Neodiprion lecontei: one gene and its partners. The main gene of each other region encodes a partner of the protein of the gene in region 2 in a complex. Links are inferred from orthologs where the notes say so. Each region holds a gene or a part of one and is shown on either strand. Other genes may lie near its edges.

What was found.
Region 1: protein Red (region 2) and zinc finger matrin-type protein 2 share a complex: the UniProt entries of both Homo sapiens proteins name them as parts of the spliceosome B complex. The link is inferred for Neodiprion lecontei from reciprocal best matches to the Homo sapiens genes IK and ZMAT2.
Region 3: protein Red (region 2) and microfibrillar-associated protein 1 share a complex: the UniProt entries of both Homo sapiens proteins name them as parts of the spliceosome B complex. The link is inferred for Neodiprion lecontei from reciprocal best matches to the Homo sapiens genes IK and MFAP1.

What each region holds. Positions count from the first base shown.
Region 1 is NC_060265.1:7,533,812-7,543,519, forward strand, and holds zinc finger matrin-type protein 2, read left to right. Parts: upstream 1-2,723; 5' UTR 2,724-2,851; coding exon 2,852-2,863; intron 2,864-3,072; coding exon 3,073-3,293; intron 3,294-3,380; coding exon 3,381-3,454; intron 3,455-3,588; coding exon 3,589-3,734; intron 3,735-3,792; coding exon 3,793-3,936; 3' UTR 3,937-4,582; downstream 4,583-9,708. Other genes in the region: adenosine kinase, read left to right, coding at 625-824, 1,100-1,273, 1,387-1,657, 1,864-2,133, 2,258-2,470. UniProt on the Homo sapiens protein: Involved in pre-mRNA splicing as a component of the spliceosome.
Region 2 is NC_060262.1:33,327,842-33,339,454, reverse strand, and holds protein Red, read right to left. Parts: upstream 7,501-11,613; 5' UTR 7,219-7,500; exon of another isoform or gene 7,211-7,218; intron 7,128-7,210; 5' UTR 7,080-7,127; intron 6,930-7,079; 5' UTR 6,843-6,929; coding exon 5,292-6,842; 3' UTR 4,083-5,291; downstream 1-4,082. Other genes in the region: uncharacterized protein LOC107219612, read left to right, coding at 1,647-1,732, 2,161-2,249; vanin-like protein 1, read left to right, coding at 2,514-2,627, 2,742-4,082; uncharacterized protein LOC107219618, read left to right, coding at 8,041-8,482, 8,762-8,934, 9,065-9,220, 9,394-9,774, 9,878-11,613. UniProt on the Homo sapiens protein: Involved in pre-mRNA splicing as a component of the spliceosome. Auxiliary spliceosomal protein that regulates selection of alternative splice sites in a small set of target pre-mRNA species. Required for normal mitotic cell cycle progression.
Region 3 is NC_060266.1:18,253,141-18,264,216, reverse strand, and holds microfibrillar-associated protein 1, read right to left. Parts: upstream 6,166-11,076; 5' UTR 5,994-6,165; coding exon 5,900-5,993; intron 5,756-5,899; coding exon 5,076-5,755; intron 4,834-5,075; coding exon 4,664-4,833; intron 4,259-4,663; coding exon 3,823-4,258; 3' UTR 3,167-3,822; downstream 1-3,166. UniProt on the Homo sapiens protein: Involved in pre-mRNA splicing as a component of the spliceosome.

The DNA of each region.
Region 1 (9,708 bases), on a different chromosome or scaffold from region 2:
ATAAAGTAATACTTACATATTCGTTTTACCCGTAATATCTTCGACTCTATACACCTATACAGGTTTCGGTACATTTAAACTTTCGAAATCTCGAATCCTTCGTTCGATTATAATTTTAAGTGGAAATAATGGATTGTCGTATTGCCTCTGCGTCTCGCAACTATTTTTACGAATCCGCCATGATTGTTTCTTCTGTTGAGAATATTTTAATCGTCGTCATTCATATCATCCTCGATTCTTGTTTGTCCCCTACTCGTTCACAACGATCACTCTCATTCATTCTTCTGTTTTCTTCCGATTATTTTCTTTCACGATCGGTGATTAATACTCTATTTGTTATCCTGAAAGCAGCCGCTTGAGCAACATACAGGAACTGACGAATGGTCGGTACAAACGTCAAATATCATCGTACGGTTATCGCAGGAAACCAGGAATATCATTTCTATTTGCACACACAGTCACGTCAGTTTAGGTAAAGCTAGGGTACAGCTAGAGGTTAGGTTGGGCTAAACTGACTGCTGAATCTGTTAAAGTATCATTCGACCTAACCTCACCCAAGCAATCCTAATCGCATTACGTGTCCTGCTTGCAGTGTACCCGTTGATTTACTGTAAATTATTACAAATGAGTGACGAACGATTACTGGCCGAGGCCATTCGATCTTTGAAAACCCCGGCTATCGCAGGCTTCGGCAATCCGTTGTTGGACATATTTGTAACATTGAACAGCGATGATATGTTGAATAAATATAGCCTAAAAGTCGACGGAGAGGAAGAACTACCCGCAGACAAAATACAACAACTTATCAATGAACTTCCTTCAGAGTTAATGACTATCTCAATACGAAATAAATGGAAAAGAAACAGACACATACAGCATCTGCACTCAATTTCTTTCATTTTCATTACTCACATATCTTTCACCCTAGTAGAATGAATACTCGTGCTCTTTTAGTTTTCAAGATCAAAACAGTGAAATGAGTACGAATTGAACTATTTTTCAATTGTTCGATGTAATGTCTAACATTCAAATCATTTACGTGAAATAACCACATAGAAATAACTCTTCGAATATTCAGTATTTAATTATTAAATTACAGATCAGAGCAAAATATCAGTCCTGGAGGCTGTGCTCAGAATACAATCAGAGTTATTCAATGGTTGTGTGGTGGACAGAGTGGACCGCAACTGGGATTGTTCTGTGGAGGACTTGGAAATGATTCTCGGGGGAAAATACTCCAAGACATGGTTCGAGCAATAGGAATTGATGCTCGGTATTTTGTTTATCTATGGCATACGACCAGACTTAAATTTATGAATTGCAGAATACATCTAACAGTCTGATTTATACTAAGGTTCTAATGCCTGATTCTTAATTTCCTCCTAGCTATGCAATTCACCCTGATCTACCAACTGGTGTTTGCGTATCAATGGTAAAGAGACCATGGCGGAGCCTCGTAGCAAATTTAGGTGCTGCTAGTGTGTATACTTTGGATAATCTGGCGCAGCATGATTTGCCGTTAAATTCACTGAAAATAATTTATATCGAAGGATTCTTTATAACGCATAGTTTTGACGTTGCTTTGGAGTTGGTGAAATTGGCTCGAGATAAGGGTATTACTGTAGCATTCAATATCAGTGGCGAATATATCTTCCAGGTTACGTTTCTATACTTGAATAATGTGAAAAATTCTATTAATTTTGTTGCTAACCTACTAACAATACATTTTATTCCATTGGAAATCTTTTCGACAAAGCCTAAATTAACTTGGAACTTGTTGTAAAGAGTTTTGTACTGATATAAAATTACAAAAAATATAGTATGTACTATTCTCAAGACATTCAAACTTCTATATTCTTTTAGGAGCATCAAGTTGCCATTTGTGATATGGTTGGTTTGTCCGGAATTGTATTTGGTAATGCCAGAGAGATGACAGCTTTGGCTCGCGTATTAAATCTCCAGTTCAACAATGTTCAGGAGATCCCATTCCTTCTAAACAATTTGAAAAGGGTCACAGTTGGTGCATCTAGTAAGAATGATGGCAACTGGTTGTCAGATGAGGGTATCATTGTGATGACTCAAGGTGGAAAATCTCCTGCCATCGTCGTTTGGGGAGAGGGTGAATCTGCACAGGTACAAATTGAGGATTTTAATCCTGAATGATAACTGAAAGAATTTGCAATAGCGATGTAATAAATTTCAATCTTAGAATAGTGAAATTACAGGTAAATGAATACAGCTTGAGTTTAATATCTAGATAACGTTTCAGGTTCTACCCGAAATTCCTGAAAACCCTGTACTGGATACAACAGGTGCGGGTGACTCATTGGTGGCTGGTTTTCTGCTCGGTGCTTTAGTTGGACGTAGTCCAAAGGCATGCTTGAAATTGGGCTGTAAAGTAGCAAGCATGATCGTTACTAGAGTTGGCGTAACCTTTCCAGAATCAATACCGGCCCATTTACTACAATAAATATACAATACAAAATTGGAATCTCTTCAAAGCTATTTGAACTTTCATCTAACAAAATAAATAGACCTAGTTAATTTAAAAATTTTTGACTTCATTTTTAAATTAATTGCCTGTGTGTCAGTCGGTAAAAGACCGTGGTCGGTAATAATTCCGTGATACATACCTCGTGCTCTAAGGGGGTATATCACTTGGTGTTTTTCTTTTATCAACGCAGTTATGAGTTTATCTCTCGTTCTGTAGATGGCGTTACAACTAAATTGGCTTTAGCTATACTAGTGGAAAGTGAGGAAACATCAAACAGAAGTGAACAGAAGTTTGGGTAGGAGCCTTAGCTGCAGGATTATTTACGTGCGTAATAAACGTTCAGCACTTATCGTCACAATGTCCTCTACGGTGAGTAAAATACAAATATTTAATAATAAAACGCAGAAAATTAATCGTACACACATTTTTGATGGTATTCTCTTACAATGAACGATCGTAACCTCAAAATTCGACAAACAACCTACGAAGGGTATGATAGTTTGTTAAAATTGTGAACTTTACTGTATTTTGATGTAGTATATCGCTTCATGGAATATTCCATAATTTTTTTATTTCAGCGTCCTGACGATCATCGTCGGAAGTGGAATAGGGAGGAATATGAACGTATAGCGCTACAAAGGCTTCAAGATGAGATTGCCGAAGAGGACTTGGGTATTCCTAAACAGCCAGCGGTTAAAAGAGAGCTGCTCAAACAGCGTGATTACAAGGTTGATCTTGAATCAAAACTTGGAAAAAGTGTTGTCATCAATAAAAATACACCATCATCGCAGACTGGAGGGTAAATTTTTCAAATCTATTTGAAAACTTTTGGCGATTTATCACAGTAAATATTTTTAGTTCTTAACATGCTTTTTCCTTTCTATAGATATTATTGCAATGTCTGCGACTGTGTCGTTAAAGACTCCATCAACTTTTTGGATCACATTAATGGCACGAAACGTAAGTTTACAAATTTTCATTTATTATGATAAAAGATCTTCTCAATTTGTCGACCTGCATTTTAATCAACATATGTCCATTATTCCATCTTATTTCCCTTCATGCGTAACTAATAATGTAACTCCCACTTACAGATCAACGTAACTTGGGAATGTCCATGAAAATTGAACGCTCATCATTGGATCAAGTTAAAGCGAGGTTCGCTCACAACAAAAAGAAATTGGAAGAAAAAAAGAAAGATTACGACCTTGAACAGAGAGTAAAGGAATTGAAAGAAGAGGTAATTATTGTTTTGAAAAAGTCGTTATCGGTCAATAACCGATTATGTTTGTTCTCAGGAAGAAAAAATCAAGGAATATCGAAAAGAGAAGAGGAAAGATCGGAAGCGGAAGTTAGACGAGGCCAATGAGGACGACGCAGGACCTTCTGATGAAATGGCTGCAGTTATGGGATTTTCTGGCTTTGGCTCAAAAAAAAAGTGAGATAAAAATAGTGAAATTGATATGTTTCATTCTCTACTTGATGCGCGTGTAATGAACATGTTCCCAAAGTGTACACGGACGACTAAGATGAGTTTGACATCTTCAAGTGCAATTGTGATAACTCAATTGTCATGTTTCTGTTGGATGCTCATAGGATGAAAATCTGCGTTTGTTTGACCAGGTAAATTACATTGATTATAAACTATAATTTCTCATGAAGTGAATTATTCGTATTCTTCTTAATTAAAAAATTAAATAACAGATATATGAATAACTGCATGTCGTATATTTTCGGAAGTATGAACTGCGAGAAAGAAGCAACATTTATCGAATGTACGTATTATAATTTTATTTGCAGTGAACATTGTCGGTAACAAATTAATTCATAAAACGTGTTTCACTAGAAAGTATACCGTACAGTGAAAATATAGAATAAATACAAATTAATGATATTTAACAAAATGAAAGTAAGTGAATAATAATTTTACATGAATAAGTTAACCTGTTATAAAGCAAATGAGGATATGAAAAAACAAAGATTAAGATTTTGATTGAATATCAAACATACTGCCACATTAGTTTTAATTGGGATGGAAAGCTTTCACCTTATAAACTTTGTCATATTCGCAAGAATAATTGGACAACATTTTTTCTGGACTTAAAGTCTTTTCTACCCATGTTTCACTGTTTATATCATGACGTCTACGTTTTCGCGGTATTTCATTGGTACCTAGATAGTCGTTGCCAGTCGTAGCATCTATTTTATCTTGATTATCTAACCATTCTCTCACAAATGCTTGTACATTTTTCGAAACACTTGAAAAACTGTTGGTGGCAGAAAATCTGCTGGTACTGTGGTCTGAAATATTTGAGTTACAGTCACTTGTTTCAGGAAATGGATCTATCGATAAATGCTGGATTTTTGGGAAACTGTTTTGAGGTATGTTAATCGTTGTAGATGCTTGACACTTTTCTTCAGATGTGTTACAAGCTCTGATCACTTCTGTGTCAGTAAAATTCTGATTTTGATCAGAAACATAGGGTCGCTGAAGATGTTGCTTTGTTAAGCTGAATGCAGCAATATCTTCAAGTATTGCAGGTTGCTTCGGCAAGTAAAAATTGCCTAGGTGTTTTTTTTCACCGACAAAATTTTTAGATTCGTACTTGGGACTGTAGGTATAGTTCAACTTAACAGGTGACCTGTTTTCTAGTTCTGATTTTTGCTCTTTTATAACCGAGTTGCAGATCCTGGATGAAAATTTCATTGTATTTTCATCTTTCTTTCGAATCAAGGAACGCTTTCTGTGTGATCGCAAATACATGGCCTGTGTGATCTCAAAACTAGAGTCCTTAACTTCCGTGAAAGGCTGACTCTCCTGTTCAAAACTCGTTGTGGAATTTTTAGATGATTTGATATCAAATTCAATAGAAGTAAGTGAAATAGAACTGATGTTAGACAGCTGGGACCCGATGTGTTCTGAGTCAGTGCTTAACGATTCATTAGGTGGCTTGTACAAGTGAAAACTTGTACATCTGACATTATCCACCTCTGCATATTTGGTAACAGAATTTTTCTCAATATTCTTGAATAAATCACAAAGTTTGAGATTCTCATCTTCACTTTGATTTATTTTGGCACTTTTATAAAAGGTGGATTTATGATTAGTCAGACTTGGCATTAAACCAGGTTCATTTTCTATGAATTTGTTTTTACTTGTATTTTTCTCCACGTGTTCAATTTTACGTTCTATCAATGCTGGTACAAAATTTTCTTTTTTCGTTTGATTATCACTAGCACATTCTGACAGAGCGACCTTCGCATGAGAAGGTAATGAATAGTTTCCGAGTTTAGGTAACTCAGTAAAATGGCTTAATTCTTGTGTAGAATCATCTGAGTCACTTAGGCCATCTGAAAACATTCTTGAAATTGCATTACTGTAATCAGATTTGTTGTAGATCTTACTTTTCTCGTTCTTTGCAAATAACCATATCGAATTTTCGTTACTAGTAGTTTTTTGCGACTGTTGCTTTTTCAGAGCAGTTAAGGACGATGACGTTGACTTTGAATTTGCACCATTTGATGCTAAAAAACTAGTGTGAGCGGGCAGACTGCAATTTTTCATGGCTTTCCCACAGTACATTTGCAAACTCTCGTTTATGCCTTTATAGTTACTGCCCATTTCCCATCTATCGATGCTGCCAACAAACTTTTTACTCAAATTGTCTTTTACAATTGATGATACAGTCGTCTTTTTCTTACTCTCGAATGTCTTGGGCATTTTTCGAAAATATCCTTAATTACTTTCCGTCTGTTTTGTTACCGGTACCATTCAGTATTGTTTGATGATTTATATCTGTTGACATAACACGTATGTAAAAAATTAAGTCATATTGGCTTTTACAATGCACAGTTAATAATTGGTTGGAATATTTTGTCGGTGTCCTTTCAATGTTAATTCACAATTGATAATAATAAAATTCATTGACGTTTGAACTTATTTTATATATATTCTAAATTCATATACACTTATGTGGCGTTAGAAATTACGAAGACGAAATAAAATTTCCATATTTGTGCACTTATTAATGAATCTTGGTCCCGGATATGTGTGTATGCACGCGCGCACACACACACACACACATATATATATACGGCATGCGAGATATGCCTCGCGTGGTATGTATTGGTATCAATAAGTAATGGTATATATAGAAATAAAAATGTTAATGGGTGTACTATTAGGTGAGTTTAGTCAGCGACAACCGTTAGCTTGATCTTTTAGAGATATATCTCACTTTTTGAAATATCGTTGCTTTACTACCCCGCGACTCATATGCCTAACTGGTTGACATATTATAATTACTTACTAGATACATAGATATCGTCAGTTGAAGTTTTGACCGCAATTTAGATCCATGATTCATTATGAAATCAGTTCCTGAAGAGCTTTCAGCTATTAACCTAAGCAACGCGAAGTTGGCTTTGAATTCGATATGTAAGTTTAACTATGTGAGTAATTCAAAATCTGGACGTCCTAGTTACCGATATTCATCTATCGAAATAGTGTGGCAGTAAAAACTGCTCATCAGTATCTGATATTTTATTAAAAAAAAGAATCGCTCTTGTTTCGAAATTCGAATTCGCCCTACTTTTACGTAAACGTTCGCGAAGGTGCAGGTAGACGGCGTAGCAATACATATTTTCGTGGACGAAAAAACAATTGCAGCATGGTACACGCTTCGCGATTGTTACTCCGTAGAGTCCGATACTGGAAGCCAGACTTTTTCCTCTCTAGTCGCGTACAGGAGAAAAATCTCTCGATTATTACCTACTTTGCACGCGAAGTGGCGAAGTTGTATTAATACGGCAGTTAAAATCGGAATTATCGTGATGAAACGAAAGTGTTTGCGCTTCGGTGTGTGTGCGCGGGAGATAGGAGAGGGTGAGAGTTGAGGATATATCGCATCTAGTTGCGGAATGTACGCTCGCGAAGCGGGACTAAGATCGTCGTCTAGCCAAGTTCAGACAGCTCGCAGAGCCGTTTCTCTCGCGTCTGCTGCCTCCTTCGTCCCGACGACGTCGTCGCCCGTGTTCTTCTATTCGACGTGACCTGTGAAGCAGGTTCACCGAGGGCCTGCGATCTTAGATCCCAGCTCATCGTCAGTCGGTTAGGATCCGCCGTGCGCAGGTGTTCTGAATCGTCGACAAACCGTTTGGGCGACGCGACAGCATATTCGTTCGGGAAAGGAGCAAGTGGTTAACATCGTCGAAAACACATCTGCAATCATATCGAAACTGTCCTCGCGAAGGGTGAGAACAAAAGACGATGGCATGCGATAGGAAACACGGAACACGGTTGATCGAACATTTTGCCGATAATAATTGAGCGTCAACAATAACAATTGGGTGGTGTGAGCGGTATTTATCGTCGCCTCAGAGGTTCGGTGAGTGAGAAACATCACATTGGATATTTCGGCGTAATTTGGGGTGATTCTTCGCCGATTTTTTTTAAAACGTTAGCCGAGGATTAATCCAGTGTGAAGTTGCGCGTATCCGTGCGTGAGACGAGTCATATTCGCAGCGCTCGCTTGTTTCCTCGTATTACAATAACACGCTGTCAGTGTATATATGTATGTGTTGCGTGCTCTTTGATTGAGGAACAGATGTGTATACTCGCAACGACAAAGCTGTTGTATTTCATTACTGTATCTGAAACTTGTGAATGAAAGACGTCGCGCGAGTTCTCTATCGTGTTAATCCCATATCAACTGACTTTTCCGTCCGTAATTGCTTCGACAACCTTGACGACCCACCGAACGAGAAGAACATGCCAAGGACATCGACCCTCCAGCCCATCGCGGAATCGAATACTTCGAAAGCGAGTGAGTATATATTACAATTTAATGTAGCATATATTGTACCACGGACGTATTAGATCGAAATTGATCGCCTGCAATGTGCGCAGACTTGCAAAAATCGGTAGAGCTTCTAGCAGTTGTACAAGGTCCAAAATAAAGTCTCTGATTCCGGATTGAAGATGAAGTGAAAACTCTTTCGGCATCGAATCTAATTATCGCCACAGCCAGAGTCGCGTTGGTCAAGATTTAAAAAATCACACGCTGAGCCACAGGCATTGCACTTTTATTTTCATTGGAAAATTTCGTCCGTTACCGGTTCCGCCAATGACTTTTCAAGCGTATAATCAGCTGCGTAGATCCGAGCATTCGCGCTTCTTGGATAGAAAAAAGAATGAAATGCTTAACTAACTATCGATATAATGACGTAGTGGCATCTATCATCAATGACGAGTAAGCTTGACGTTGACTGACAATTAGTTTTCGGCTAACACCATGCCCCGCAGGACTGTTCGTCTGATTGTCGGTAGAACAACCGGGAGATGTTGTTTTGATAATTTGCATTTATTTCTAATTAAAAACTCATCTGCCGCTGTACAATCTGACGTTGCTCATTGTAACCGAATTCATTCCAAGCTTTAAACGAAAGGTTAATTAGCGTTTGGGGATAAAAAAAATGAAATATTAATACCGCAAGCCTCGTATTCACCGAATGCAGGCTATTAGGAAAAAGCCTTTTTTACGACGTATAATTTACCGTCTATAAATCGAACGGCATTCACACGAATATAACCGAATTCTAGACTAATATCTAATGCCTCTCTCTCTCTCTCTTTCTCTCTCAACATACCCGAAGATGACCCGTTGATTTCTCAACTATATGAGTATACTTAAAAACAATAAAAAATAAATATGTTTAAAAAAAAGAAATTCATAGTCGTTAGAAGACGATGTTCAATATCCATATTATATATTTCGGTCAAGTCTCTCGTTCGCTGAATGAGTATTATGTGCATCCTAGAACAGGGTACAGTCTGTACCTGCACTTCTCAAGGAAACATGATAATCCTATTAGTTTCTAGTCGGAAGCGCGTCTGCTCATAGTCTAGTCAATATTTTCCATAACTTGTCGCCTTTTTTCATTTTCTTCGTAACACAGGCTCGCTCATCATACTGATATTACTGCAGGCAGCGTGTTTAGAAAAGCTTGTACTTTTTTCTATCACATATCCGATAGATTCTGTCGGACTTCTGCAAAGAATTATATTTGCAATGTATCTAAGACCGAAGTGAAATTCAAGTATTTATTAATCTTACGGTATAGCCGAAAAATCCCGATCGATATTATTTATAAGATACTATAAACTATGCGAAAAGAGTTTTTTTGGCATTGATTTTATACTTTCGTAAATCACC
Region 2 (11,613 bases):
CTTCTAATATATTTAGATGCTTGAAGCAGCAGTGTGTTATTGTTTTTTTTATCCCTGAAAGGTAAATTTTTACTTTTCTCTCCCCAAACTTTAAACGCGTTTTTCTCAAAATGGTGTTTACAAAGTCGGTGACCAACATTACTCGAAAACGGCTGAACCGATTGATCTCAAATTTTAACACGAGCTTCTTAAATATTTTTTTTAGTAATTAATCGAAGATTTTTGCTCACCGATAAATATTTTTTTTTTATAAGCAATTTAAAACCGAAACTTTGGTCAAAAATCGATTTTTTTTTTGAAAAACCGCCATTTTGTCAAAAAAATTTATTTCGCTTATTCCTTCGATTGATTACTAGATTTAACATTACTTTAACGAAATCTGTTGGGTTTTTCAATTTCTGAGGATCCAGTTCAAAGATATAGTGATCACCGTAAAACGTCTTTTTTGAGCGCACTCTGATAACGATCGACCGCTCATCCGTCGTCTATAGCTTACACTTCTCGATTGATTGATCACACATATATCATATAACCGCTTAGGTGAAGGCCCCCCCCCCCTCCCTCTGCGGAACTACCTATTACTGAGTCCCGTAGTCACTGCTTTGGCAGCTTTTTGAAACTGTTACAACCTTTAAAAGTGAGAACAATCATAGAAAAAATCGCATGCCAAATCTAAGAGGTCAAGGGTAAAAGCCAGGTCGAATTAGCGTGGAATGCCCCATATACACTATTTATTTGTGGGTTAGTGAAATAAAATGATAATGTGATAAGTCGATTTTACATAAGATTTCACTGTTTCAATTTTACGTCTACTCGACCGTCAACAATCGGCTGTGAATGTAAATTGAAATTTACCGTTAGTCAAATTCTTCATGTTCTTAATTTGAGTAATGAAATTGGACGATTCTTTAGTAATCACTTTGCGAAGCAACTGCAGAAATTTATTTCATACGACGATGCAAACAAATTCAAATATTTTTGTCTGTCAAATGCAACGCAACTGCGCAGTTTTCTATCGTCAATAACATTCGCATGTCTCAGACGCAGTTTACAGAACGATTGCGGAGCAGAACTGACGTTGCGTACAACGTAGTGTGTCTACCTACTTATTAAACTCGCCTAGGTATGTAAAAGCGGTTGTGAAAGTTGAAAATTAAAGTACATTCCGTGACTGTGGAGTTGAAAAAATAACAGGTGTGTTGCGCTAGTTACGCGATTTGATTGAAAAAAAAAAACTGACATCGTATTTCGAAAATACCGCGTAAATTTTCATATTGTTATTTTTTATGACAATGCCGGTATAAGTTTTCACGAATAGTCAGTGATATATGAAATTCGGTAAGTACGCCGAATGACTCGACATTATTGTAAGTCAGGTTTATAAGCGCAACACTTCGCCGTCCGGTAAAAATTGAAAATTCTGATTACGCCTATGAAACAATTCATTATGCTTTTTGCTGCACTGAAATAGTGAATAAGTGAAAAACCCATTACTATACAAATATCTAGTCACGATAATTGAATACGCTTAACCCAGGTTGCGATAACAGTTAGCTGTATTGCTGTTATCGAAGAGAATCGCTGTTTATTTTAGATAACAATATCTAAGGGGAACCTGGTTTATATAAGTAAAAATTATATTACAGCTGTCTTCATATTGATAACCATGCGTCTCTCGAAACTATTAATCGTTGCTGTCGCGTTGGCGATTTCTATTCAACTGACCTCCGAGGTATGTATCAACTCACATATTGAAATACGAGCCATCTTTTGGTCGAACACTACGAGACTCTATTGCACTACCGCATGCCGCGTTCACTTCGAATTTACTTATCAATTGAAAAGAATATGATAACGCCAGATGCAATTCGTATATGAGATCGGCGTGACTTCACTTTACCGCGGTGCAATCGGGCCTGTATGTGAATTAAATAATTTATGTAACAAAACCGTTCAAAAACACTATTGAGAAAGAAATTTACTAGCTGGTAACTTAACGAATGTAGCATCCATAAGTAGTAGAATAATCTATCGATAATTCATGTTGAATCTATTATGTCGGTAATTTGAAAAAATACCAACTACATTCAATAATTAGTCATTTATCCATAATTTGATTATCGATCGTTCGCCTAATACCCTTCTATTCGTCATGTACAGGTTTTGGCCGCAGACACAACTTCTTACATAGGTGCAGTTGTCGAATACTACCCGGTTACAAATGGAACAAACGGGACGACAATCGCTAACGCTAATGCTCAAAATTATGTTACAATTATTAAGAGAGCTGCAAATTACGTGAGTAGATTTAAATAAAAGAAAAACTTTTTGTCTCTCATCGAAAAATCAAATAGCAGTGGTAAAATTTCTAACGTTCTTCGAGTTCAGAATTCTTTGTAAAAGAGTATATTTCTATAACGCTTGAAAAATATGTTTACCCAAATGAATTCCTTATATTCATTGAATTCTTTCAGAGCACGGACATCGTCGTATTTCCAGAAAGCTCTTTGACAATGGGACTCAATTCCTCCGACACGGACAGAACTTTATATCCTTCACACAGCTCTTTTGTACCAGACCCAGGAACAGACATACCCTGTGATAATTCGTCGACTGTCGTAATGGAGGTTTGTAAAGAGAACGATTGGATTCATCGGCAATACAAAGAATGTCAGACATCTTTAAACATACTACAATACAGGTGTTAGTCAGTATACCTAATGTCGGAATTTTCTTCCTAGGCTTTACGTTTGATCTCATGCGCTGCCAAGAATAACTCAATTTACGTCGTGGTGAACTTGAGCGAGAAAGAGAACTGCACCACGACAGGAACGTCGTCTCGTCCCTGTCCCAGCGACGGTTACTTCTACTACAACACAAACGTAGCGTTTGACCGAACAGGAGCAATCGTATCAAGATACAGAAAGTACAACCTCTTCGGCGAGCTGGGATTCAACATAACTTCGACCCCAGACATCGCGACATTTACCACGGATTTCAACGTTACATTTGGACAAATAATCTGTTTCGACATCCTCTTCAGAACGCCAACTCTGACTCTGATCAACGACTATAACGTCACCGACATCATTTTCTCGGTACACTGGTTCTCCGAGATGCCGTATCTGACCGCCATTCAGACCCAAACGGCCTGGTCCTACACGAACAACGTCAACCTTCTGGCGTCAGGGTTCAACATGCCAGCTACCGGCAGTGGAGGCAGTGGAATATACGCTGGAACCAACGGAAAATTGGTCGCCCTTTTCTCGGAGAGTGCGAAGAACGCTCTTTTGGTGGCAAGAGTACCAAAGGTGATCGACGGGGCCCGAAACAACGTCACCTCCACGACCTATCCGCTGATCTACGAGTTCAGTAACACCGAAATCACGACTCTGGTCGGTATAACGACGGTCCCTCAGCAAGCGGTGATCCAGGATATTCTGACGGCTTACACGACGAGCGTTTTGTCCTTGAGCAACGGCACGACCGCCAGTTGGCTCGAAATATGCGATCGGCAGCTTTGCTGTTCCTTTTACGTCAACGGGACGTTCGATGCGGAGAGCGTCAATTCGAGTGCAAATTATTACAGATACCGCATCGCAGTATTCAACGGTGTGAGAACACATTCGGGCGTGGCTACCACCGGTGTGCAAATCTGCAGTATTATTTCTTGTAGAAATGATACGGCGAGCAGCTGCGGGCTGAGATTTGCCGCTACGGACACCGTCTTGCAGCCGACTGTCTTTAACGAAATCGTCGTATCCGGTAATTTTTCTACCACCTCAGACACGATGCAGATGCCAGACTCATTGACCACGGATATGCTTCCATTAAACATCAGCGATTTCACCTACAGGAAAACTACCGTATCTGGTTCTACTTTAGCGAATGTCACCCACGTTTTGACCACTAAAACAAGCAGTTTGTTAACTTTTGCTATTTATGGTAGAAATTTCTCGGCCGATGGCCTGGCATTCACCGAAAGCGTTGTATCATCCGCGATTCCATTCTCACGCTTTTCAGTGGTCCTGACTACGGTTTTTGCAGTCTTAATTACCTTGCACATTTTAACTAAGTATTGAGAAGAGTAACTTTTTGTATCCGGAAAGTTGCGACGGGTATTATGTATGTAAATAATTACCTCGCAGAAATATCCAATAATATTAAGTATATATGTATATTTTTAATATGCATAGCGTGTATGATAAGTTCGTGACTTATGATCTAATCAAAATTAAAGATAGTTTGTACTATTTCACTGTTTTTACCTTATGTCTCTATATGCTTCACGTATAAAAAAAAATTCTATCATCGTCTGTCTGCTAGTTAATGATGTCACTAAATGACTCAGTTACTGAAATTACTTGACTACAATAAGATAGATTCTATGCGATAGAAGATTCAATGGAAAATTCGCAACTCGCGAGACAAAGAGCAATTACCGTTGGAGCCGTATATTCCATATTTTATTTTAAGATATTACATAAGCTTACTATGTAACTAGTAATTACGACCTGTATTTGTTAATCATGCAATGAATTTAGTGATTTAAATGTCTATTTCGATAAAAGTCTATGGCTAGCTCAATAGCAAAGTTTCCTTTCAAACACCTCGCCTCGCATTCTGTTACCCCCTTCGAGTCGAGAAATACTGTGAACCAGATAAAATTTCCTTATAACTATATGCAGTTCATATTTAAGTGTTAAATATATCACTTCCAACTGTTCAACTCTGCGTCAATAAATCACACTCTGCGCAAGTACAATATTTTATTTCACCTTGTTAAGATAATTCACTATTTTTTACGAACACTATCTAACATTAATTGTCACTGAACTCATTGCTGAGGTCAGACATCAGATAACGGAGAATAGGCAAGCCTGGCCATTTCGTGTACATATTTGTTTTGCCACATCCAGCAAAGTTATCTTAGATGACGATATAAGAATTCAGTAAAAATCGGAAAAGTATAAAATGATCTGTGGACGAGAACGTGGATAAAGTTGAGCCCTACAGAATCAATCCTGAGAAATCTATTTTTGAACGATTCTTGTCACAATTTATCGTCTTATTGACATTGAACCTAAATTCCAAATTGTAAATCATATTTTGCAAATTTTTTCTTGGTCTTCCAATTCTCTGATAAGCCAGATAAAAATACCTTCAATGATTTTCGTCATGATGAATAGTACGAGTAGCAAGAATGTAAAAATTGAGTTGACTGACCTAGCGGTGGCAATAACTTTCCCCCTCGGTTAAACTTGCGTATCCTGAATCGATATCTCATCTATTCAATATCTTGGGACTTTGAACTCTGGCACTGCTTCCGATCCTCCTGTTGGTTTTCTCTTATTCATGATGTTCTGTATTTTCTGCCATTCTCTGTCCAACTCTGCTTTCTCATTCTTCTCCTTATTATACTTCCTAGTTCTTCTTCCATCTGCCATTTTTACTCCATACTGGAAGGCAGCCTTGGGCAAAGCCTCCTTGTTGTTCATGTACTCGCTGTATTCCTCGGGAGTGTCAAAATCCCACCGTCCAATTGGCCCTTTCTTGTTTCCCAGGTCCATTTTAGTGTAGTCCACTTCGTCGTCGGAATCGTCAATAGCATCCTGCATCTCGTCAAGTCCTGGATAACACTCGGCATAGCCTTCAGGTTCGGCAGCAAGTTTATTCAACAGCATACCCTTCTTAGGTGCATTTTCAATGCTCTGTGCTATTACTGGCGGTAGCTGTGGAGCGTTAGCTGCATCGTCTGTCGACGTCTCAACTGGTTTGTCAAAATATGAACCCTTTTTCTTGTCCTTTGAATGAACAGCCTCCTTTCTGCTTGACGAAGGAACGTAGTCGCCGATATCTCCATAAATGCTGTCGTCTTGAGGCCTCTGTGCTGTATCAATTTCGTTGAGTTCCTCTACACGTGATTTGCCTTCACGGTTCTTCTTTCCTTTCTTATTATGTCGACTGCCCTGACGCAAGTAGGACAAAATCTGGGCTAGTTTATTTATGACAATATCGTTGGTCGTCAAAGTTGGCGTTGTGTCTATCGTCGGGACGTCGGCCTTGCTCCTGATCAGCGTCGTTGGTATGTCACCATCCGCATTTTCATCATCTAGCTCAATGACGTATGCCATTCGACCAGGGCAATACAATTCGTTGCGTTCAACATGTTTGGATCGCATAATAGCCAATGTTTTGTGTATATTACGTCCTATCTTTGTCTTGAATTGCATTTCCTCCTCTTTTTTTTCCACCTCTTTCTTGTCCTTCTCTTTATCTTTCTTTGGCTTCACCAGCTTTTCCATTTCAATTTCCTGCTCTTGTTCCTTGGCCTCTATCTCACTCCTTACCTTCTGCAGCAACGCGTAATCCAACCCTTTCACCAAATGAGTGTGCTCCATATCTCCACCCAAGAACTTCGACTGTTGTATCATCTGCCTCCTTCTTTCTGCTGCATCCATACCAGATTTAACATCTGGCGCTACGGCTCGGTAGGCACTCGCTGTATTCATTGGATCTTCGGACTGATAATCAGCATTAGTTCCATCTCGTCTCTCCCTCGCTCTGTCTCTGTACTTCTCAGCTAGTTCTGCCATTTTATCCTCCTCCTGTTTCTTAAGCTTGGCATAAAAACTCTTCTTTTTTCGCCTCAACTCTGCTCGACTTCCTCCCGCTATTACGGGAGTTTGTGCCGTCTTAGCTGCGGTGTCTCGCATTGTTCCAGGAACCGACGCCGGAGTTGACGACGGCACCGAAGCCCTCGGCGTCATTAAGAGACGCCTAAAATCATCATTGGTCAATCTCACCGAAAGCCCCATATCCTCCTCCATTGTGTCCGGCATTTTTGTCAATAGAAATGCGCAGGAAATAGATTATTCTTGAGTTAGATACTCGCCAGCAGCTCCGCTTGGTAGTCTACTCATCAGCAACTGTAATAAATGATTGAACCCCATTAACGCAGTCAAAAATTTTTAAAACCACTTTTGATAATTTAATTAATGATCATCAGCAAAACAATCTATCTAGTAGTTTGTTGTTGACTTTGAGGTTAATTATATAATTCGATTTTACAAAATTACCTGCATTTGCTAGCAACTGAAAATACAAGAGAGCAAATGTTCGCACAACTGCAAATTGTAAAATTTACTGATGCAAATTGCTATTGATACGTAACAAATATGTAAGTCAATTTATCAGTGCATTTACATACGCCCTTACGTCTCACAAGCAGCCGGAGTAACAAACAATCGACTTATTCCTCTCGTTTTAAGGTTATGTCGGTCGCTGTTCTGACACGTACGCCTCTGTGCAACGTATACGATTTGAAATTAATGAGTAACAGATTTTATAACCTGTAGGATTCACTGGTCCAAATTTTTTCACACCAAAATAATAAACGCTTCGATGATTTCGAATACAGTTCAACGTTTGCGAAGTTCAAGTGCACGGACTCAAACGAAACCGTGTCGCGTAACTGGCGCCATGACACTTTAGCCCAACCTAACTTCACACCCGTCAAACGTCAAACTCGCAATTTTATCATCCCTATTGAGAAGGAATTTGTAGCGTCACTCATTTTAATTATTGAATGAGATATTCTCGTCCATCGCGGACACCTGCAACGCGTTGTGAGTATGAGAGAAGACATTAAACGATATTCAGTAACAGCTTACAAATTCATTCTTCTTATACATACGCTTCCAACCCATTTGTAAAGTCACATGACTGATTGTAAATTTTCTGTATATACTTTACCTAGCGTACTGCCTGTTCATTCTAGGCAGTAAACGGTGCTGAAAACAATTCATTATTGGTTTGCTTGGCTTCAATTGATATATTTATATTTCCTTACAGCTGACATATCGACAACAACATGAACGTCGATTAAAATACATACTGATCAAAAAAGCCAAGATGATTTCAGCTTGCCACAGAGATTCTTACGATTACGAAAGCTTGTCTTCTAATGAATAGATTGAGGATGATTCGAAAGGGAATAGTGTCCACAAATCTGAACAAGATCCTTTTCGTCGTGAATCCATGCGTTACATCACGAGTACAGAGGGAGAACACGTCTGTTCTATGTGCAACAACATGTTCGAGAATGAAAAAGAACTTGCTGATTATGAGTTGCCATCAGATGGTTCAATGTACGGAAATTCAACAGATAACGAAGAACAGACGAAAGTCAATCAACATGGAAAGAGCAAGGTTTTGACTGTCGATTTGATCAGACCGTTCAAATGTGATTTATGTGATTTGGTATTTGACAGAATGTCACAGTTGGACAAACACAAAAGAAATGTGCATAGCCAGGAAAGATCTCAAGTATGTCAGATATGTGGAAAAGGATTTTTCAGGTCAACAGATTTGAAAACCCACTTAAACATTCATTTAGGTACTAATAGATGCATTTGCGAAGTTTGCGGAAGAGAATTCAATCATGTTTCCAATTTAATTAGGCATGGCAGAACTCACTCAGGTAAAAACGGAACTTTATCTCACTTTAGACTTTTTTTCACAACTGGATTGAGAAACTATCGCAGTAAAAGGCTAAGACGTCGTTTTGCTTCTTTTTGGATACTTTTACTATTTTTTATCGCAATGTTGCGTCAAACTGAAAAGACCGTTTTTGGCGCAGTTTATATGAAAAGAAAACATTTTAATTAACATGATACTCCTGCTAAACATGACAGGGTTCTAAAACAATTGACATAAATATATGTAAAATTAAATAATAATTAGAACCAATGGATTATAGGAGTGAAGCCGTACCCGTGCACCATTTGTGGCAAGCGATTTACACAGATCAATACATTAACCAGACACAAAGCTATTCACAAAAGAGGAGATGACAGTATGGACTGTTGTTTTTGTGACAAACAGTATAAAACTAGAAATGGTCTTAAACTACACATGAAGAAATCGCACGGAGTAAGTATCGCCCTGCTTCACAATTTAGAATCATGCACACGCTGCAACTATTTCTTAGATCAATATGCCAAATTATTAATCATACGTCTTATTAAGCGCAAATATGAATGAAAAATTTTTTTATTTACAGTTTACTGGAAGTTGTCAGCAGGATCATGGAAAAATTGTTAAACGCAAACATTACTGTACAATTTGTGGGGACAGTTTTCAATTCGTTGAGCTATTAAAAGTTCACGAGAGTATGCATCAAGGCATAAATATATTGGAGTGCAAAAGTTGTAATCAGGTGAGAGAATTTGCAATTCTACACGGCTTGTTTCTTTGGCCAATTTTGGATACTTAATTCTTTCTGTCATTTGCAATGTGTCTTTGAAATATCGACAAAAATCATTATGTAAACATTTTTTCGTATTAACTACTTCTCAGTCCCAATTCAATATATATATATTTATATTTTAGGTATTTCAAAAGATGGACGAAATCAAAGAACACAGATGTGATAAACCAAAATTATCTGGTGCAAATGAAATGATATCTGAGAAAATTGTGTCTGATAAAGAATTCTCTGAGAAGGCCAGAAACCAAGAAAAAATTATATCAAATTTATCTACAGAGGAACAAAGTTTTGTTACAAAACTTGAGGTTGTTGACCAAGGTTCGAGAGATTCTTGTTCGGAAAGAATTCCTAGAGCCAAGGGTATCTCGAAAATGAATACGATACAGAATTCAAGTAACCATGAACCTGATTACAAATTCAAACCGACTATTCTTACATGTCCCAGCAACCGGGAAGAGGATAAGCGAACTAAAGAAACAATCGTTTATGTTACTACTGAACAGGTATAAACATATACGTAATTACAATTACTTTTGTTACACTATATTTTGCTATCTTACTTACATTAAACCTTAACAAACTCATATCAAATCTAATTGTTTACAGCTGGCAAACATGAATACGGAACAAGTAGTAGATACAGCAAACCATTTTTTGCATGAACACTTGATGCAACTAGCGGCCGAAAGTGCTTTGCAAACTGATAATATAAGATCTCGAGACTGTGACAATGAAGCCGCTGTATCTGAGATGATAAGTAATTGTTGGAAAGAAATTGAGATACCTGATGTGAATGAACCTGAACTAGCCGAAAAGCAAGATGCGTCATCAAAAAATACTACCCAAAATATAATTTATGTACACACGTTAAAAAAGGACGGTCTAGCATTTTTGAATAAAAGTGGAGATCTCGGGAATATTGGTACTGAAATAATGCCAGAAAAATTACAAAATATTAAACATGACTTAGAGGCGATCGAAAATTCTACTTTGCATGCCGAGCTTCAAGAGACACATACTTTGAAGCTTAGAGAAAGTGAATGCGTACAGAAGCATCATCTGGTTGGAAATAAAAATTGTAGTAAAAAAATTTCTGGAGTTAAACGAAATCCAAATAAATTGTTAGATTCTGTGTTATTTGAAAATATAAATTTAAACTGTTCAGAACCAAGTCATAGACAAGAATTAGACACAAGTTCGGTTACAAAAGGAATGAAAGTACTAGAAATTCAAGACTCTGTGCTGTACTTGAATGAAGAAAACTCTGATAAAGGACAACGCGAAGATGGTAATTTACAAACCACTTTACATGCACAGAATATGTTTGAAGACTTATTCAAAAATCATATGGATAACGTTAATACGGTAATCACTAAATCCTCTGACAATCAAGAACCAACTTTGAGATTGGTGAAAACAGACAACGAAGAACAATTCTATGAGCTACTGATCACAAATTGCTCAGAAAATGTGGTAGAATCTTGCGAAATAGGAAAAATTTCAGAGGAGAGTATCCACGAAAATTCAAAAATAACACCAAACGAGCCTATATCAGATTCACTGTTGAAATTAGTCCAATTAGAGAATGGTCAACGTATCTTGGAGTTAACGGAAAACACGCTATCAGAGGGATCTGATATTCCCGAAATGATTGGAAAGCGGACAGGAACGGAGGATATTGAAGAGGAAGTACAAAATTTATCGAAAAATGTTAATCACGATAAAAGTGGCGAAAAAAGTTTTGTGCATAACAGGGGGGAGAAAATCTTTTACCTGGCACAAAGTAACAAAGATAATTTGATTGACTTTTTTGAAATAGAAACACTTGGGACGCAAGACCAGAACTGTGATTTTGTCTCGGACGAAACTATACAGAATCTATCAATACAAACAAATTTTGACGATTTGGGAACTCTGAACAAAAATGAAAATTTGGAAATTGAGAATCCGCCAATGGGTAATGAAAGTTGTGAAGAAATCTTTGGATTAATTCAGAATAATCTTCCGAAATACAATGAGAAAATTAAAAGCGAGTCCAAGAAAACTGTAAGGGAAGATGGACCCATGGTAAGACTTGTACAGAACGAAGATGGGGCGCAATTTTTCGAACTAATTCGAGGAGATTCAGAATTTGATGAAACGCAAGACTTTGAGTTGATTCAAACCTATGATACAGATGAAGGGCAAAGCACCCAATTTGTAAATAATATCAAACACGCTGAAAACGTGCATACAGAAACAAGTTACACGATGAATGGTACCGACGAGAAAAGTAAACTAGAATCTGAAGTATCTCAGAAGAAAAAGCCGAAAAGTAATGTGAAAAAGTATAACTGTGACGT
Region 3 (11,076 bases), on a different chromosome or scaffold from region 2:
AGATATTCAACCGACGCAATAAAGAATTTAACGGAAAAGCAAATATCAAATGATACAGAAATTGGGTGTTATTTATTGAAAGAAGAAATCTAATATTCAACGTGAAATGTCATTAACAAGTCGGAATCTGGACAAACAGAGGTAGGTAAGTAAAAACAATGTTTATTGTGAACAGATTCTTTGTTTACATAAAATTAAAAATAAATGAATGGTTGAGACCCAGTAGAAGGTATTTCCAGAGTAGATTCGTTACGGTGCAGTGCTCCAGAAGTCAGTAATCAGTGCCGATGAACATGAAACAAATAAAAGAGATGAGTAACAAGGAATAAAGAAATTATTCATCTTAAACACGAAGCTTAGGAGGACAAAGAGTAGCAATTAACAGAAAACGTACCCGACGCAATACTCACAAAAAACCTCGCCGACATCATTGATTAGTTGACAAAGTTTTTGCAGCTCCATTGTACAACAATCAATGTTCCGTTAACAAAGAGGGTTCACCAGAATCCAAGAATAAAAAGAGAAAAAGAACAACAGTTAATATTACAGTGTAAATCATGCTATTAATGAAAAATTAGGAAACAAACAATAACTTACAAGACAATCGTCCGATAACACTGGAAGACCAATCTCCACTCTTCTGATCACCCCTCGTCTGGCCATTGGTGGCCTTTCAAAAAGTGCTGCCGTTTCTTTTGCCTTCAAAAATACCGAAAGATCCTGTTTGATAATAATAGCTTCTAATATTTTCAGGTACGAAATAATTCATTGTCAAAGCGGGACTAAATTTGTCAGGCACGGAAGCATGTAAGTAAATTTCCAATTACGTGATCTTTGACAATGACAATATTTTAACATGGATTCAATGATAAAATTGGTTTTTTTTTCAGCAGGCTCGAAGTTTAAACTTTAATTAACACGAGGAAAATTATGCCTTACCTGATGGTCAAAACGTTTAGGTGGCAAGGATCCTGGTTTCTCGAGCGGTGCAATCATTAGAACCATCGAACCTGGTTGTTTCGTCAGACATCAGGTGCCAGAGTGAATTTTATCAGGCCATCGCCACCTTCTTAACATCACTTGAGGCAAAATTGAAGAGCGGGATATACTACAGATCATAATGGCTGACTATCCCATCATTTTACTTTGATCGAGCCAATAGCGACAAGTTTGTTACTTAACCGTTGCTGCCAATTCATTCTACCGAGGAATCATTCTGTGCACCATTGTAATTCAAGCATTATTATTGACCAGCATTGTTTTTCAAACTTTATACCATTTGATTTGGTATCTTATTTTGAAGCTTACTTTTACTCTCTTTGGCATTGAATTCAGATAAATAGTTTTTCAAGTCCTCAATTAGATTGTAGGGTTGAATTTTGCTAGGCAAACTGAATCAATCTGAATCTAGAACTGTTAAATAAGTTCAATTAAAAATGTCTTTAAATTAATCTTAGTAGACGGTGTCATCTGGCTAGCTAGTTGCACGATCACTTGAAACCAAATTCAATTTTGCACTCTTTATAGGGTCCTACGCTAAGACTGAAAGCTTGTGAATCTCCATGTACCGCAATTATTTCTGCATTTCATGTTAGCATTATCTGGAGCAAAAAAAATCCCATTTTGAGATTGAAAATGGAACCTGAAACACAGAGTTATTCAGTAGCACGAATTGAAAACCAAGAATTTTATAATGGTTTCTGCAACAAAGGGACTCTTTCCAAATATCCTTGTTAGAAGGTGATGTTCGGAGGACTATGAACAAGATATTGTATCGGATTACATTATTTGGAAAAAAATCTTCATAAACTTCGTTAAAAATTAGATATTCATTTATTTTGATGGAACAAGGGACACAATCTTTACATTACTTTAAAATTGACATTACTCTAAAACATGATTGTCCTTGAAGCTAATTGTAACATTAAGGCGCATTCTGAGAAACTTGATTTTCAACTTGTGTCACAGGATGTGATTTACGTTCCTGAGTTCTACGCTTTCGATTAGATTTTCTTTGTTGCGAACCGCACTTACATGAAATACAGAAATCATTTTAATAAATCTAATATTACTTGAATTTTCAATTTGAGTATTAGGTTCCCTTCATTTATTTGATCGAACATCATTGAAAATTTGCGAAATAAATTCTGATAATCATTCGGAAATTTTAAATAGTAGTAGCAATAATTTGTTAATCGGAAAAAATACATTGACTATCGACTATTCGTAAATTTTGTTGAACTATTTTCAAGAAAAAAAAGATTCACAGTTCCGTTACAGATAGTGAGATATTTAAATTTCTTGAACGCTCGGTTTAATGTCTCATTTTCGAAAGTGATAAAATTCAATATTACCGCCTGAAATCACAAAAGAGTGAGAAAGTTGCTTAGTTGCTTGAAAGTGGCGATGATCTTTGTACGTCTGACAAATTGAATTGGCAGATAACAGTGAATATCAGAGATGTAATTATTTTAGTCGTATCACCTGTTGATAGATAAAAATTCCACTGTTATTTCTAATGTACGAAATAATAAAAATGATTAAATAAAGTGTTCGCACCTACCTGCTGCGTTTCTTCCAAGCACCCAACATTTAAACAGATTTCTCATTTTAGTCGAATAAAGCCAATTTTCAAAGAGCATTATCATCAACTTTCCGAGTCATTACCTCGACTGTTTGAGATTCTAACCTCAAAAATTCGTATGAACTACAACACCGCCAGAAACAGAGTTTGACAGCTGAAACTCGGAGTGGCCAACCTGCCCGAGCAGCCGATAAAACTCGCGCATGCGCATTATATGTATAGTTTCAAGAGATTGTCCCGGTATATTTAAATTTCAATTACATAGAGAGTTTCGTACTTCAAATTCAAAAATAGATTTATTTTCAGATTTTTTCAATTAATTGTTTGAATTTATTTCTAAACAGCTTTATGTTTGCACAAACTAAATAAACAAATGTACGTTTCAAAATCATGTATTTAGATAAGTAAGACAGGTTTTTTTTACTTTCAACTATAGTTTCAAAAAAAACTGATGTAAGTTGTTATGTCGATCTTCCATCGATATCAAACCTACAAATTATTGGAAACAAGAACTCCAAATCGAAAAAATTCAAACATGTATGTTTGCTTGTTGAATCTTTGTGTAATAACAACTGAAACTTCTGTGGAACAAAATAGTTTTTTTATTGTTTTCAACTGTACAGTTGAAGTAACTTAAAAAAATTTAAACTGTAAAAATCATACATCTTCAAGATATTAATGAAGTTGGTTAGTTATCTATTCATTCTATTAGCCTAACACAGATATTTATTTCCTACGATTACATTGTAGGCATTCCAGTATTGAATTACGTCTATATCCAGAGTAACGATCGGCTTTTGTATGTACACATGCAGACTAGTTGTTAGTCACCGATGATTTGAAATCACAATTTCATTGGCTCATAATTTTCGAGGTGAAAGTTATTTTGTGGGTAATTTTTACTTCAAAATGAAAATGCCTATAAATTTATTCAACGCCTTTTTACCACACTTATCTTTCACCCAGAATTATGATGAATGACTGGGGCTTTAAATGTGAACCAGAAATATATTATTGTCAAATTTTTGTATTGAATGAATTAAAGAGTAAAATTGATATCAGTTATACAAAAATAACCCGAGTTATGAATAAGTAATTTCTTCCTTCCCGTAGTGGGTTCCTCAATTTTAAAGACCCAAACGGAATTGTCCGCAACAGGTAAAGTGAAACTGAACATTTGTAAATGGTCCTAGTCTCATTTCCCAACATTGTAAAGACACAATTCATCCTGCACCATATCAATTTTCATTGCCTCGTTTTTTTAGCGATGGTTTATCGAAAACTTGTTTCATTCCAGCAGCTTGGTTATTGTGGAATTTTAAGTTTTGAGCGGTCTCAGAAATCCATGGTGAATCAAACTGCGTTGTGTCTTGATCTACCAAATGTGTGTACTTGGTTCTACCGCTACGCCCAAAGTTTTTCACTTGCATTACTTTCGGCAATATAGTTTTGTCGAAATGATCTTCCAACGTTGCACCAGAGAAATCTCGTTTGAAAATTGTATCGTCTTTGTCCAAATAGAATGCACCGCGATGGTAGTACTTCTGCAAAAACTTGTACTTTCCTTTCGCTGCTTTGTTCGTTACCAATTTTGGGTTTAGACGCAGTTCCTGACGACGCTCTTCTTCTGTCATATTGCGAAGTCGCTCTATCTCTAACCGTTCCTTTTCCAATCTGTTGGATAGAAAAATATAGGGTTGAGTTGGATTACAGTGGTAGTCATGAGACTGAAATTTGTAACAATAATGTCGCGATGCATATTTAGGAAAAATATCCCAACTTTGGGACTGTCAAAAATTCAGTGAACCGTAATGAGGTGAAACATTCTTGTATTTCACGAAAACTTCTTTAGTCATCTAAACATTACAAAATAGTACTTCTTTATCAATATTTCGACGCGTTAATGTTACTAAATTCAACCTTATTGGTAGTTAGACTTTTTTGAAAACCCAGGCATTTTTATGTTCCGTTTGTTCGAAATTTTTAGCAGTATGGTTTTTTCAGTTTCAAATTAAACGAATTCCCAAAGATATCTTTAAAAGAATGATTTGAGTGGAAAATATTCTTGAGTTTACGTACTGTTCTCGTTCCTCTCTGTCTCGTTTTATTCTCTTCAACTCGCGTAGTTTCCATGCCTCATATTCCACTTCGTCGTTCTCATCGTCGGTGCAAACATCATTTATGTTTCCTTCCTGATCTACTATAGTCTTGCCAGTTTGGGTTTCTTTTCGTATAGCGTCTTCTACCATCTAAAAATAACCAAAATCAACATCAGCCGAAAGATTCACAATTTTCAAAGTGTGTAGTCTAGTTTAGCTCGATTGTTTAATGTCTACTTGGACGAAAAGTTGGTAAGTGAAGCTTGTCGTTAGTGAACAAGAAAGAAATCGCAACATATAAAGTTTCTCTTTCCTTAATACCTTGATAAGGGGTGAAAACATGTTTAGAAAGGATTCAAGATTGAATGAATATCAGTTTCCAAAAGGATTACCCTCAATGTCTGCCTTTTTCTTTCCTCTGCCATTTTCTTGGCTTCTATTTCGGCCTGCTTTTGTTTCATAGCTTCCTTCTCTTTTTCCATAACAGTGATCCTATCCTTTTTCCGGACGAAAACAGGTTTCAATCTCGGTCCAGTTTCTTCCTCAGAATCGGTGTATTCTTCATACTCTGAGCTATCTTCGGAGCTGTTGGTTCGGAGCTTCTCCTCATCTTCTTCATGAAACATTTCCTGGTCAGCTTCCTTCTTAGATAAAACTCGCTGTTTCAATGCGTCTCGACGTCTTTCAATTTCAGAATCGGACAAATCTTCATCCTCCGAGGAATCTGAGCTCTCCAATTTTATCCTTTCGCGCGTTCGCTCAGGCTCAGTCTCCAATACCTCAGGTTCGTGAATGTGCCGATGCCTTTCAACACGAATTTCTGTATCGACCTCCTTGTGCTTCTCGATTCTAGTTAAACGCCTCAGCCTAGGATCATCCTCGTCCCTCAGTTTACCGTGTGACGGAACAGGGATATCAGTTACAGTCTCTGATTCCTCGAGAGGTTTGAGTGTTCGCTTTTCCATGAAATCTTCATCCTCGGACTCTTCATCCGAACTCGCCATAGGCGCATAATCGGGACGTTTGCCGGACACATAACGATGGACCTTAACCTTTTTCATCGACAATTCGCCTGAAAATATTGAACGAAAATTGAATGCATATCTTCAATTGTACAAAACTTTATGCCTAAATTTCATAATAAAGTAAGCTTTAAAACGTATGCAACTTATTGGGAGTACAGTAAACAGGTGTCTCACATAATAAATCAGCTCACCTTTGTCATTTTTAACTGGCACTGCACCCGCGGTACTTTGTATACCCATGGGTGCTGGTGCCAACGAGTTATTAGTCACAAAATAATCCATCATTGTATAGAAATTGTTTGTTTAACCGGTCATCTACAAATGCTGTCGTATGATCGCAATTCACAGCAGCTCACGGCGTGCGAGTCAATAACATGGACTTGACTTCACTCCCTACTCATCTCTGCTTCAACCAGCTTCAACAACAAAACGCCATTTTACCAGCCTTGTCATTTGGTTCAGCTGTTTGGTTGGTAACCTTGTGATATCCAGATCTCATCGCTGGTGGTTGGTTTTGATGTTGACAGCACTGGCAGATTTTTCTATCTCTTTTGCACTAATGTTTTTTATAATTAGTGAATTCTGTTTCACTTGCAGGGAATGTTCAGTGCTCATAGGATATGTTTGGAATCGCATCAAATACACCCAGCAACGTGCCCAGTCCAATATCAGTTGTGCCGTTACCATTGTTACCGACAGAGGAGATAATTCGCTGATCAATCGACTATTGTAGGTAAGCAATTCATCTGATCAACATTTCTAATGCACCATCGACTGATATTTGATAAATCATTTGAATCAGCAATGAATAAAATTCAGTGTTATCAAACATCCAACGCATCGGACACGTTTCGAGAATTCGAATACATATTAGAAGGCTCATTTTGACACAAATTGTGTGAGAAACATCGAAGTAAACAAATCTTCTATGGCTCTATTGAACACAAGAAATTCAGCGACTACCAACAGACATGTGCTCAGTTAGCGAAGCAGCGGAGGCATTGAAGCGTCTAAGCTGTCGAAGAATAAAAATAATGTAGTTGCAAACAGCGTTCGAGGAGTGTTCGAACTTATCAATTGGTACGGATCAAGTTCGAGAATTAATCCAAAGATAGTGCGGGTAGTTCTCACAGCCTCCCGAACCACGATCGTTTTTCGTTACTCAGCGGTTTGATAGTAGTGGAAAGGGGGCGAGCGAAAGTTTCTGACGATGAGGCTCGGCGGCTGACAAGATATTATAGCGGGTAGGGGAAGTCGTTCAGTTACGTCGTGAGAAACTAGCCGTCGAAGGGAAGGGAAGGGCTGCCGGCGGTGCGGCGGGATGAGGGGGCGGAGCTGAGCGGAGAGGAGAGGGTTTGGAATGGGTCGGAATGGAAGACGACGACGACGACGACTAGTAGCACCAGTCCGAGAAGAGGTAGCAAGCGTAAAGCCGAAAGGCAAAAGGTCCATCGAAGCCGCGCTAACGCAGCGTAAGGAAGCATCGCACGAACTCGAAAACTGTGCGTGGTTCGCGCAACGATCCAGTTGTTACGAATAATTTACAATTAGAGTTGTCTTCGATCGAACGTGTTTCGTTATTTAAAATTATTGTGACGCGCGCACGCGTTCTGCCGCACAGGTTTACCTGATTTCCTGCTAAATATTGTGTGTGCCAAAATTTCAAATAAATACGTATGTACCTGCAATAAACATATATTTTGTTTTTCTCTCTTTCTCTTGTGTTTCTTCTTCGCTTTTTCTCCCTCGTTTTTCTAATCTGCCTTGTTTAAAACTGTGTCAACAGTCGCGACGACGTGAAAACTAGAAAGGTAGGAAAAAAAGGGAAAAGAAGCAAGGCTGTATACAGAACAAGAGACTGAGAATTTAATTCGAAATCAAACTTAGGAAAAATTTAAGTCCAAATAGGTTTTTCATTAACGTGTGGTATCATTGTGAGAAATAGTGTGTGTAATTACTTTTGTAAGTGCGTCAGGTGATGACATTGGGATCGATGTAGAGTGCCCTGTTCCAGTCTGGATTTGGATAAAAAAAACAAAATCAACACACAAGGAGGGAAGGTAAATAACATCATTGTATACAACAACAAAAATCCAGGAACGCAAATTTTTCGGCTTGGTTAGGTGTCATTTCCAACTTCGAATGTGAGTAATTTTTCATCCTGCTCTCCCCTGTGGATTGTTAATAGTGACAATATCAATTGACCGCACATTAAAAACGATGAATGGCGTCAAAGATGAGACATCTCCACGAATTCCATGTTTTTTACACGAGATTATTTTGAAGACGCACGTTTATTTCGGTTGGCAGTATGAATGAATTTAGCTAGGCAGCCAACCTTTTGTGGAAAATTCCCTAGTGAATGCTGGTATTTATAGATCATTCTTGTCAATTAAGATCAAATTAGTTGCTCTCACATATTAAGACTGAAAAATGATATAGCAAACTGTTTGCAAAGCGTGTTATGCCTGCAAGTCATTAGCATAAATTGCATTTTCGAAGAATACAGTTTCTGGTAGACTTATTATTGTTGCGTAGAACAAAAACTGTTTTTGCATATTTATGTTTAGAATTGCGCTATATGCGAATTTTTCGCTTCAACGACACATGGTTCTGATTGCCGCTAAAATAAGTAATAAATTAACAGGATCGGTAAAGACAGACTACAGCATACCTTCAGCTCGATTGTTTTTCATACTACATTGCTATCACGTGACGAACTTCAACCTGATTTTTAAAGATCTTGTACGTACGGTTTTCTTAGCTAATCAATAGAATTCCTTGTTTCGTAACAATCAAGAAGAGATTTATATCAAGAATAGAATCAATTCGTCCACTTCCCACAAATTCTCACGTGTGATCATGTTGTGTGCCAACGTTGCCGATTCGCTACTTTCATAACGATTCTTCTACCAACGAAAATGCTGAATTTCACATTCTCAGTGTCATTCCACAAATATCGGTGTTAACGTTCATCTTCTTATTCTTTCGGATCTAACATTTGATCCCCATATTAATTTCCAACATATTATACTTTATTTTCTATTACGACCGGAACCTTAGGAATTTATTGTTAGCAATTTCCATGTTGGTAGCAGTGTAAGCGCGACTCGGGGCAGCCAAGTATGGCCAACGTAATGTACAGATCATCCCTTTTCAACATAATCTCTCGGTATATTATTCTCCGTCCGATTGACATGCGGATGTTTGTAAATATGTAGTTGGCATTCCCATTTTAGACCTTGAGGATGCGCCGCCGGTTGCCGTAGCGAAAGGGGGGGGGGCGGGGTGAGAGTTTCGGCGTGGTGACCGCTACCACAATCCGAATGACAATCCGTTCTATATATAATAACTCATTGTTAGTTATTATGACTGTTGACGATGAGAGAATATCAGTCATACCTTTATACATACCTGAGTATAATGATATGCGTAATAATACCTGCTGTAGATTTGAAAATCTCATTTTCTGTTCAGCTAGCACCGTGTTGTACTTGCACCGTTGTCAGGGACCTCTATTATTTTGTAGAGTTACGATTTATTGCTACAAATCTCGAGATCAGTTCGTTATTAGCGTGAGAAAATACTCCGTAAGACTTTTCCTATATATATACTATATATATGGTTCGTCTGAATTCGTCCCTGCAAACCGCAGCGGTGGGGGTCTTGAATGATGACATTTGTGCGATTTGATATTCAAGGAACAATTAAGAAAAAATTGCAGAATAATTTTCACAATACAGACACTTTTTAAATATATATTATAACATTTTCCAAATCACCTCTTCAAATGTGCCAACGAGATATTTTATCGCCTATCTGTAGCCACGAAAGGTTACTGCTAAGGCGTTTTGTCGAAGAATCTCAAAATTTCAGTTGCTTAACAATTGAGGTTCTGATAGCACCTGCAAAAAAAAAAAATGCATTTATGTAAAATTTCTATCTAATTTTCAAATCGGCTGCAGGGTTTAAACAAAATCTGTCCGAACGTTTTCCAGATACCTGTTAAAAACCGGTTTAAATTTTTTTTCTATCAGTAATCTTACAGATACATACACCTCTCCAAATTACAGCAATGCTATTCATATTTTGTTATCAAAACTGCGGGCCGAGTTCAGTCGAATCGGAGTACAGAGCGAGCAGAAGCGAAGAAGCTGAGACGGCTAAATATCTCTCCCTCTTCTTACCTCTTCGTAGTACGCATCGGTACGCGTATCTCCTTTGAGACAAGACTCAGTCGAACTCCACCTCTCCCCCCCCCCCCCCCCCCCCTTCGGTGCCTAAGCAATCGAAGCATTCGGGATATAGCTGCATTTTTGTGTGTAGGAGTTTCCAACCCTCAGGGGGTCAAATTTCAAGTCATTCTTGTGCTGCATAGCCGGCGTTTGGAAGAAACGGCAGAATTCGACGTTTTTTACGTTTTCTTCAAAAACTGCTATCGATAGATGGAAAATAACTTGACCGTCGCGTAGAGCGGAAAATTCAACAACGAATTATGTCCTCATATGTCGGGAACGAAATCGGATTAACCGATTTGGAAAAAAGAAATGCTACTTATCGACGGCATCTGGGGAATTTTGGTGAAATAATATATTGTTTCTTAATTTGGTCAAATCTTTTTCACCTATCGATAGCAGTTTTTGAGGAAAATGAAAAAATGGTAAAATTTTGCTGTTTTCTTGAAACACTGGCCATGCAACTCAAAATGAGTTCAGAATTGAGTTTCTGTGGGTCGAAAACCCCTGTGCACAAAAATTTACCCATATCCCGAATATTTTTTATTCAGACCTATGTTGACTGGGCTATTATACCGACTTGTGAACCCAACTTTGCTAACAAAAATCGTAGCTGGCTCAATGTGTTTTTCGTTCCAGGAAGTGTCTAGGATTTTCGAAAATTGATCTGTACACCTATATAAATAGTTGGAATTACGTCGCAAAAGTTAAGAAGACGGAATAATTGTTGAAAAAATCTCCAATCTTAAAATATGCCAACGATGGTAAATGTGAATAAATCACGTCCCTAATATGTTATAGATATAAATCTAAGTTAATTATAATATCACAAATCAAGCTGTTAACAATTTGAAGAAAGATTTTGTTACTAAAACGTTGAAAATGATTTAACTCTGACTATTTTTTTATCCAACACTGCTTGACTTTGGGCTTATTTCCTCCGCTGTAAAGATTTCTAGAGAATTTTTACAAATAGTTATTGCTCGAGTGCAGGATAAAAACAGGTTTGTGTAAGTATGGCACAACGGATGTTCGGTAACAAATACAAAATAAGAAAAATTATTCCACTAAAAAAATATTTAAAAAATACAAAAAATCAAGTCTCCACTCTGAACTATGGCTCAAATTTTTGT